Oryzias latipes: one gene and its partner. The protein of the gene in region 1 purifies or fractionates together with the protein of each later gene. This does not show direct contact. Links are inferred from orthologs where the notes say so. Each region holds a gene or a part of one and is shown on either strand. Other genes may lie near its edges.

The links.
Region 2: the proteins of kif1bp (region 1) and kif14 purify together in Homo sapiens (affinity purification with mass spectrometry; 3 studies listed by BioGRID and IntAct, counting the BioPlex papers as one, with this or other methods). This does not show direct contact. The link is inferred for Oryzias latipes from reciprocal best matches to the Homo sapiens genes KIFBP and KIF14.

The regions. Positions count from the first base shown.
Region 1 is NC_019861.2:24,154,665-24,158,735, forward strand, and holds the start of kif1bp (KIF1-binding protein), read left to right. Parts: upstream 1-1,223; 5' UTR 1,224-1,249; coding exon 1,250-1,714; intron 1,715-1,922; coding exon 1,923-2,021; intron 2,022-3,524; coding exon 3,525-3,604; intron 3,605-3,686; coding exon 3,687-3,745; intron 3,746-4,071. Other genes in the region: mpc1 (mitochondrial pyruvate carrier 1), read left to right, coding at 66-93. UniProt on the Homo sapiens protein: Activator of KIF1B plus-end-directed microtubule motor activity. Required for organization of axonal microtubules, and axonal outgrowth and maintenance during peripheral and central nervous system development.
Region 2 is NC_019862.2:11,250,131-11,254,445, forward strand, and holds the start of kif14 (kinesin-like protein KIF14), read left to right. Parts: upstream 1-1,511; 5' UTR 1,512-1,830; coding exon 1,831-2,834; intron 2,835-2,939; coding exon 2,940-3,194; intron 3,195-3,289; coding exon 3,290-3,377; intron 3,378-3,547; coding exon 3,548-3,646; intron 3,647-4,009; coding exon 4,010-4,062; intron 4,063-4,169; coding exon 4,170-4,200; intron 4,201-4,278; coding exon 4,279-4,315. Other genes in the region: probable ATP-dependent RNA helicase DDX59, read left to right, coding at 1-2, 909-1,169. UniProt on the Homo sapiens protein: Microtubule motor protein that binds to microtubules with high affinity through each tubulin heterodimer and has an ATPase activity. Plays a role in many processes like cell division, cytokinesis and also in cell proliferation and apoptosis.

The DNA.
Region 1 (4,071 bases):
TTTCAGTAGTAGCTAAATTGATTGGATTCGACTTAACTGAAATCCCCGTTTTTCTGTTGATTCAGCATGGAGAAGAAGACTGGATCTTCATAGCAGAAAAGGGTGGATGATGGATAATGACTTCTAAGTGCTGCTTCAGGAGCCTTCTAAACATCCATACTCATTCATCAAACATTAATTCAATCAGTGAAACAACTGTTGCACTTTTGCAGATTTTCAATCCATTCTTTTCAAGATTAGTTAATGACTTTTTTTCCTCCAAAAACAGGTCAGCAGTTGTGATTTATATTTTAAATTATTTGCATAAAACAACACAAAATGTATGTGAGGAATGTACACTGAATTGTAAAATTGTTAGCTTGACATCAAACACACCTGACGAAAAATGTAATGTTACTTGTATTTCTATAGGTCATTGCCTCCAAATTCTTTAGAGCATGAAATATGTCCAGTATACCAGGCCATTCTAGCTGCATAAATTGCAAAATATTCTTCAAAAATATGATTATTTTAGAAAATTATCTTAGCTTAAAACCAAATAAATTCTGATGCTCTTTAGTTATAATTATAGCATATTTATTTGACTTGAAAATCATGCCTGTCTATATGACTGTCATTTAAAAATAGATGAAACAGGCTGTGTTTGTCAGTGTGGATTAAACACAAAAAACATCTCCTAGTTGTGTCATTCACATGAACTCACGTCATTTTCCCTCCCTGATGTTCCAGTTGTAAATTTCTAATAAACTTGATAGAATAATATAATTTGTGAGATCATCTCTTTTTTTTCCAATTATGTTTGTGTGATCTTTGGCATATGCACTAATTTTATTTGTGTTGAGATGAGCTGAGTTGCATTTTATGGAAGCACAGTAATGTGTTTTTTTTCAACTGTTACATCACTTGACACCTGCAGTTAAACTTATTTTCTTTTCTTTTTAAGCATTTATTTAATCTTGCAGCTTTGTCTCAAAAAATCATTTTCTTATACCTTTTGTTCTCTGAAACTGTGGAACGTACATACATTGTTTAAAACTAACGTATGTTTATTTTAGTAAGTTAATAAGCTAATGCTTTGGCTCTTGTGGATAAAAGCAGGACAATTTTTCTAGATTCAAGAATCCAGTTTCCTTTTTAACTTAAAATAAGTTTTTTCTAAGTAGTACCGGGGTTGTCCAGCAGATGGCAGTAACGCCCCTGCAGCACAGATGAAAACGAACGGCGTCTACCGCCGCAGAAGAAAACAATTATGGCGTCGTTCAGCAGTAACGAGTGGAAAGCTGTCTGCGCCAAATTCACCAACGCCCTACAGCTCAGCGACGTAGAATCACGAAACGACCCCGAAAACGACCCTTTCCGATCCAAATACAAGGCAAGGGAACTTCTGACAGAGATATACTGCTCGCTGAAGAACTTTGAAGCAGGAGATGGCGAGGAGCACGACGACGGAGAGAGCAGCGAGCCGGAGCCGACGGAGGAGCCTCTGGACGGAGAGAAGCCGGTGGATCTGGATGCGTTCAGCCGGGGATGGAGCAGCGACTCGCGCGCGGGGCTTCGAGCAGCCAGGCTCGCAGCTGTGGAGTATTATTTGGGCGTCAACCACGTGGACACAGAAGAGTTGTCCGCCGGGCAGGAGCATCTGATGAACTGCATGAAGCATCTGGGCAAATGCAGAGTGTCATCGGAGAACGTGTCGCTGTTCATCCACGTCAGGGTAACACTGGCAATGTTTTGTGGCCTTATTCGCGTCGTAACCACAATCTGCTACAGCTATGACTTGCGTTTGTGTGTTTAGGGGAAAATGGCCGTACTAGTGCAGCTACAGGGTGTTCGACCACACATAGACCTTTGTGGCAGATCAGCTGATGGAGATCCCCTCCCTCCCTGATGCTGATCATGTGTTTTATTCCTCGTGTTGACAGAATCAGCTGGGGATCCTCTGGGCAGGCAGAGATGAGACGGAGAAGTCCCAGGGCTTCCTTGAAACTGCAGAGTCCATCTACCAACTTTACATGAAGGAGGTACACCTGCCCTAATGCAGTTTAATATCATGTGAAACTTTTTAGTTTATTTTTTGTGGAGATTCTCATCCATCTAGGATGGCTCAATGGCAACATTATAAACATTACAAAAAGAACAAGCAGAAAATGTATTGGAACAAAAAGAAAAACATTCCAAGGGGATTGCACCACCAGTAAGATGTTCTATTTTACAACATAAACAATAATAGTAATAATTTATATATCTGTGATCATTGGACGACCTGCTCAAACGCCTTAGCCACTGCTGCCCATTCATTAGCTTTGAGAGCTTCTGGAAATAGTCGAGACTATGCAGGAATTTGGATTTTGGAGACTGGTAATATTTACTACATAAAATATATTACTATCTACTTACAGAACATATTCCCAATTTATGGTTATATCCTCATAGACTTTAATTTGAACAAAGTCTTTCCAAAAAACAGTTTCAGAGTGAGAGTTACAGAATGTACACTTGGACTCTGTTTTGTCTTTAACTAATATGGCTAGGTATTGATTAGTGGGGTATTTTTTTTTTTTTGCTTTATATGAACAATCAGGTAGCTTTTATCAACACTGATAATGGGTTGACAAGTAAATTTAAGCAAATGAAAAAGAGGGGAAAAAATGATTAAAAAAGGTTTAAATAAAGTTATTCTTCTTCATTCACATGCACTCACATTATTTTGTGGGTGCATGTGAATTTTAGATTATTAGTAATCCATTTTTAATTCAGAAAACTTAGAATAAAATTTCCATTTGACCACACAGGATAGGGATGAATTGGATGTTTATGCAGGAGCTTGTTCGGTATGTCTTTCTCTAAAAAATCTAGATCTACGACACAGAGAGTTTTTAAGACAGGGAAATAGAAAATTTCAAGATTACTGTTTTCAATACATTGTTTTGCCGCAAATGGAATACCCTAGTTTACATTGTTTAAATCTTTTTTTGGAAGCTTTCTTAAGTGTTTCACTTTCAATGTTGAAGTTGTGTTCCAGTACATAAGGAAGTTTGAGATGGCCGATGCAGCTTGTTCATTTTAAAAGGAACCCAACAGCAGCGCAGGTGAACAACTCTTACAAGCACCCGGCTCTAATGTGAAATGGTTTGGCCCTGATATACCACCATGTCTGTTTTCCAGACCGAGCCCTGCTTTCTGCTGATTAGCTCTATTAGGTCCCTTCCACCTTCTCATTGACTGAAGACACCTGATGCAGGAAACAACAGGGTGGTAGATGTTGAGGACCAGGAATGAGCAGCCCTGGTTTAGCCACACCTTAGCATCTATTTAGTTTTTTCCTCAAATGAGATCATTTCTACCCCTTCTTAAGAAATCCAACTTGTAATCAGAGTTATCCGAGTGCAGTTTCATACTAGATATCTGTGGGATTATTCAAATAAAAAGGCTTTCACATTTGTTTACGTTGCTAAAGTTGTCACATGGGGCTGCCATCTGCAGAAACAAAGTGGGAAAATCCTCCTTATTGATTCTATTTTCAGAATGGGAGTCCCCCTACAGACATGACAGAGTACTTCTGCTCTGAGGAGAACCAGCTGACTCATCAGGAAAGAACCAAGAAGTAGAAACTCCAGAATTTATTTTATTTGGTATTTAAATGTTTTGCCTACTATAGTTTGTAATTGTGTCTCCCTCCTCACTAGGTTTGAGCTGGCCTACACTCATACTTTGTACTACCTTGCACAAGTGTATCAATATTTTGGTGAGTAAATGATCAAAATCAAATCCTGATGAACTATAATGTACTGAACGCAATTCACGACGATGCAAAAATCCGTTCACGCCGACACATTTTTGGATGATACCATGTTGCGTTTACTTGCAGGTTAAAAATGTTCTGTTGATTTTTCATTTTTGTCTAAAAGCAAAACGGCATTCACCATGAGTCGTGCAGCTCTGGCTTCACACCCAAGGAATTTAGATTGTTGTGGATACATTTCAACTTTTTGGTCTTTTTGCAACTGCAGTACGTGCCTTAAATGAAAAAAACACACACAAAACGACCTCAAGAATTCAAACGTTTTCTGT
Region 2 (4,315 bases), on another chromosome or scaffold:
AGGTTAGTAAAACCGCACAAAACATTGCTTATTTCAATAGCAACTTTGCAATATTTACAATACTCAATAACCCAAGACAAATGACTTATACCATGGTCAGGGTGAATACTCGATTCTGATTGGCTGCAGGGTGTCCCCTAGAAAGTGATAATGGAGACCTAAAGAAGAAGTTCCAGTCAAATGGCTTGAATCTGCTATATTTTTACGTGGTTTATGCCCATCTTTTTGTCTTGCTTGCCTTATTGCTTTGATGTATACAGACTGAATATGCGTTTATAAATAATTTTATTATTAATTAATGAAAGAAAATGTTTGTTTGTTGATACACGTTTAATGATCAGAGTTAATGGTGGATATTTCCTGCCATAAAAGTGATCTAGGAACCAACTTGTGAACTTTGTTTGTTCAAAACTAAATTTTGCTTCATCATCTGGGCAAAAACAAGTAATAAGAGGTGAACTTTCCTTCTGAAGTTATGCTTTGTCACACTTAACGTTGGCGTTTATCATAAAAACCATTTACCTTCGCTGGTTAGTCCTCATACGTACCATGACAACGCGTCAGACCACAAATCGAATAGTCAGCTTCTTGGAAAAAACGTACTAATAATGATAAAAATCAGCTAATAATTTATTTAAAATTCTTTCTTTCGGAAGTGACCATGGTATAAGCAGAATAATTTCCAATAAGGTGTCCATTATCAAAAACATAGGCCTTCATGGAAGCAACTGGTTTACACCTCCACGTCAGATAATGGACACCTGATTGATCACATATCCTCATCCTTTACACATATAATGGTACTTGGGTTTGGAATTTGGTTACTTAGTTAATTTCTATTGTACTTTTTTCTATGTATGTGTTATCTTTTAGCTGATTTTGCCACATCTCTATTTTCTTTCATCCAGGTTGGTCGAGCAGGGAGGCTTGGACACAGGGGAACAGCTATCACCTTTCTCAACAACAACAACAAAAGGCTGTTCTTGGGAGTGGTGAACCGAGTCAAACCCACTGGATCCATTTTGCCTCCTCAGCTTTTAAACTCACCTTACCTCCATGAGCAGCAAAGGAGGGAAAGACAAAAATCCACACTGGGACCTGAGGATACCCTGGTCACCAAGAACAACCTCCTTGACATCATAAAGAAACACCATCGTAGCAAGAAATAGTTGATTCAAGTCAATCCTGCATTTAGGTTGTTTATTTATTATTTACATTTCAGTTGTTTTTTGTTGTTTTTGAAATAATAAAATGATTCAATGTCAAAAATCATTTGGGGTAAAAAAAAAAAAAGAAATAGGACACTGTTTTTCAACAAGTCTTAGGTCATGTTTTGTTATACATTTAAATGTTTTATTATGTTAACTATACAGTTCCATAGTTAAATCCATCTCTCTCTCTCTCTTTCTATATATAAACATAAAAAACAACGATTTGTCAGTGTTGAATCCTGAAAAAAGATGTTATTTGTGCTGCCATCTAGCGTTCGTTTTTATGCTGCAATTGTTAAACGTAACCAATGGGCGTGATGACGTTCCAGAATTCAACCAATCAACGACGAAGGATGTAACCCATTTGAAATTGAAGCGGGCAAAGGCGGAAGCAAGCGAGGTTGGAACAATAGTAAACAAAAGCGGTCGTTTTAGCTAACGTTGTATTCGGGATATATTATACCCACTTTTTAAAAAAAACTTAAGTCCAGATACGTTTTGGAGTAACTTTTTTAGGGAGATTTAGATGGAAACTTTCGTGTATACAGGAAAACAGAATGACCGTTAGCAAGCTAAATAAGGTGAGCGTTTGATTATTTTTATTTTGTTCCTGAGCACAATGTCGTTGTTTAGCGTACAGACGAGGAAGCACACGGCTTATTATGACCACCTGCTGTCGGCGTCAACACCCAGGACTAGTTTGGGAAGAGAGAGGCAGGGTCAGGGTGAGCAACAGGCAACAGACCTGTCTCTAAGCGAGAACTCCAGCTCAGAATCGGTGTGCGCAGACAGGAGGAAGTCGTCTGAAAAGAACCGTCAGGCGACCAGATACTATGTAACCCATGCGCTGTCAAAAAGTGGTAGCAGCCAGCTGACCCCCAACCGAGGGAGACTGACTTTGCAGAGGAGGTCAAGGAGAAAAAGCAGGGCTGAGACGGCAGAGAAAACCATGCTAGAAAGCAGCAAGAACAGCAGCACTCCAGCTCCGGAGAAGAGGCTAACTCTGCAACGCAGGACCAGAACGCCCTCGATGGATAAAACCAGGGTCAGCGTCCGGCAGCCAACACCTAAAGCTCTCAGCGACTCAAACGGGAGGACTCCTGTTCTATTCAGGTCTACCAGCTTGAAAGAAACTGATTCTAAGAGCAACAAGTTGGCAGAAACGTCCAGTCTGAGCTCTGTGCGGAGTAAGACCTCTTTTACCTCTACTGCATCTGAAGACCAGTCTCAGATCTTTAAAACTCCCAACAGAAAGACTCCATTTTCAAAAATTGCTGCCAAAAGAGACGTGTTTGAAAGGCTAGCGTGTAAAGAAGTTCCAAAGGTTGTGGCTGTCAAATCTGCAAGCTTGGAAATGCCCAAACCGAGAGCACAACAACAAGCAGAGTTCACCAAGCCAGATCCTCGGGTCTGCAAGATCTCAGGAGGTCATCTGAAAAGCTGCTCTGTGGCTCAGGAGAAAAAGACCTCCATCTCAGAAAGAAAAGGGGATGTGAGGAGAACATCCACCGCTGCCACCGAGCAGTTAACGCATCCCAGTGAGGCTGTCAGACAGCAGGAATCCTTCAAGATGGAAAACAGTGCTGTCACTGTGGCCGTGCGGATCCGCCCCTTCAGTCCCAGGTTTGTGATGCAATCTTTACCCTCAAAACCATACATTCAAGGGTTGCATGCTATACGTTAAACATTTAAGTTGCAATGTCTAACCGTTTCTGCTCTGGTTTGTAGGGAGAAGGCCGAGAAGGCATTGCAGGTCATCTTCACAAGTGGCCAGGATACTCTTGTCCAGCATCCTCACTCCAAACAGAGCTTTTCTTTCACATACGACTTCTCTTTCTGCTCAGTGGACGACAGCAATCCTGCGTTTGCCAGCCAACAGACGGTGTATGAAACTCTGGCTAAACCTCTGCTCCTCAGGGCCTTTGAAGGATTTAACACCTGCCTTTTTGCCTACGGTCAGACTGGTTCTGGCAAATCATATACGTACGTTTTGCCCCACTCGCACTGTAAAATCGCCCTGTTTTTTCTTCCAGCCCGCAATGCCAAACTTTGTGTTTTTTTTTGTTTTTTTTTTACAGCATGATGGGCTTTGAGGGGGAGGCCGGAGTTACACCTCGATTTTGTCAAGACCTTTTTTCTAAATTGGCGTCCTTGGAAAATGTAGAGGTAATTATGTCATATTATGCAAAGTCATTGGAAACATCTCTGTCTTGAGTTTTGTTTAGGTTTGCATCGTTTTCCTAGAAAACACTTGAACCAGAAAGACTTTGACTTCTCCTGATTGGTTCACTTCCTACATGCAGAGTTTTCACTTTTTTTGTTTGTTATTCTTGAAGGTGAAATATCATGTAGAGATGAGTTACTTTGAAGTATATAATGAAAAAATCCATGACCTGTTGGTGACCAGGGATGAACCGACTCAGAGGAGGATGCCTGTGAGTAGTGCGACTGAAATACTAAAAATGCAACTCTGCTTTTCTTCCATCTACACATTATTTCAAAGAATGATTGCATGTTTTCTGTTAACATATAATTTAGCATTTAGTAGAACTGACAAAAAACTGTTGACGTTTCTTATGCCCTTTCTTTTCTGATAAATGAATTTAGCCTGTTATTTATTTATTTGTTTTTCCATTTAACGTTTATTTACCCAGAAAATGTCCTATTGAGGTTAAGAAACCCTTTTTTTAAGGGAGTCCTGGCTAGGAGGAAACAATAAATCACATTTACAATAAAAATCTAAACTTAGACAAGAAAAAAAAAACTAAAAATGAATCTTTCTTTATTGGACTTCATAGCTCCGGGTGAGGGAGCATCCAGTTCACGGCCCTTATGTTGCTGATCTCTCCGCGTAAGAAAATCATTTTTCTGTTCCTGCAAAATCACTTTTTACAGTCAAAAGAGACTAATAGAAGCACTACGTTTGTGGAATTGCTCATTTGAATATTTCCTCCTCAGGAATGTGGTGAGCTCTTTTGGTGACATCAAGGTAGGCTGTGACTAGTTTTTGCTATTAAGTTCAAGTTGTCATTGAGACTAATTTACAATCTGCTGGAATCTTTTTTAGGGCTGGTTGGAGTTGGGTAACAAGCAAAGAGCTACAG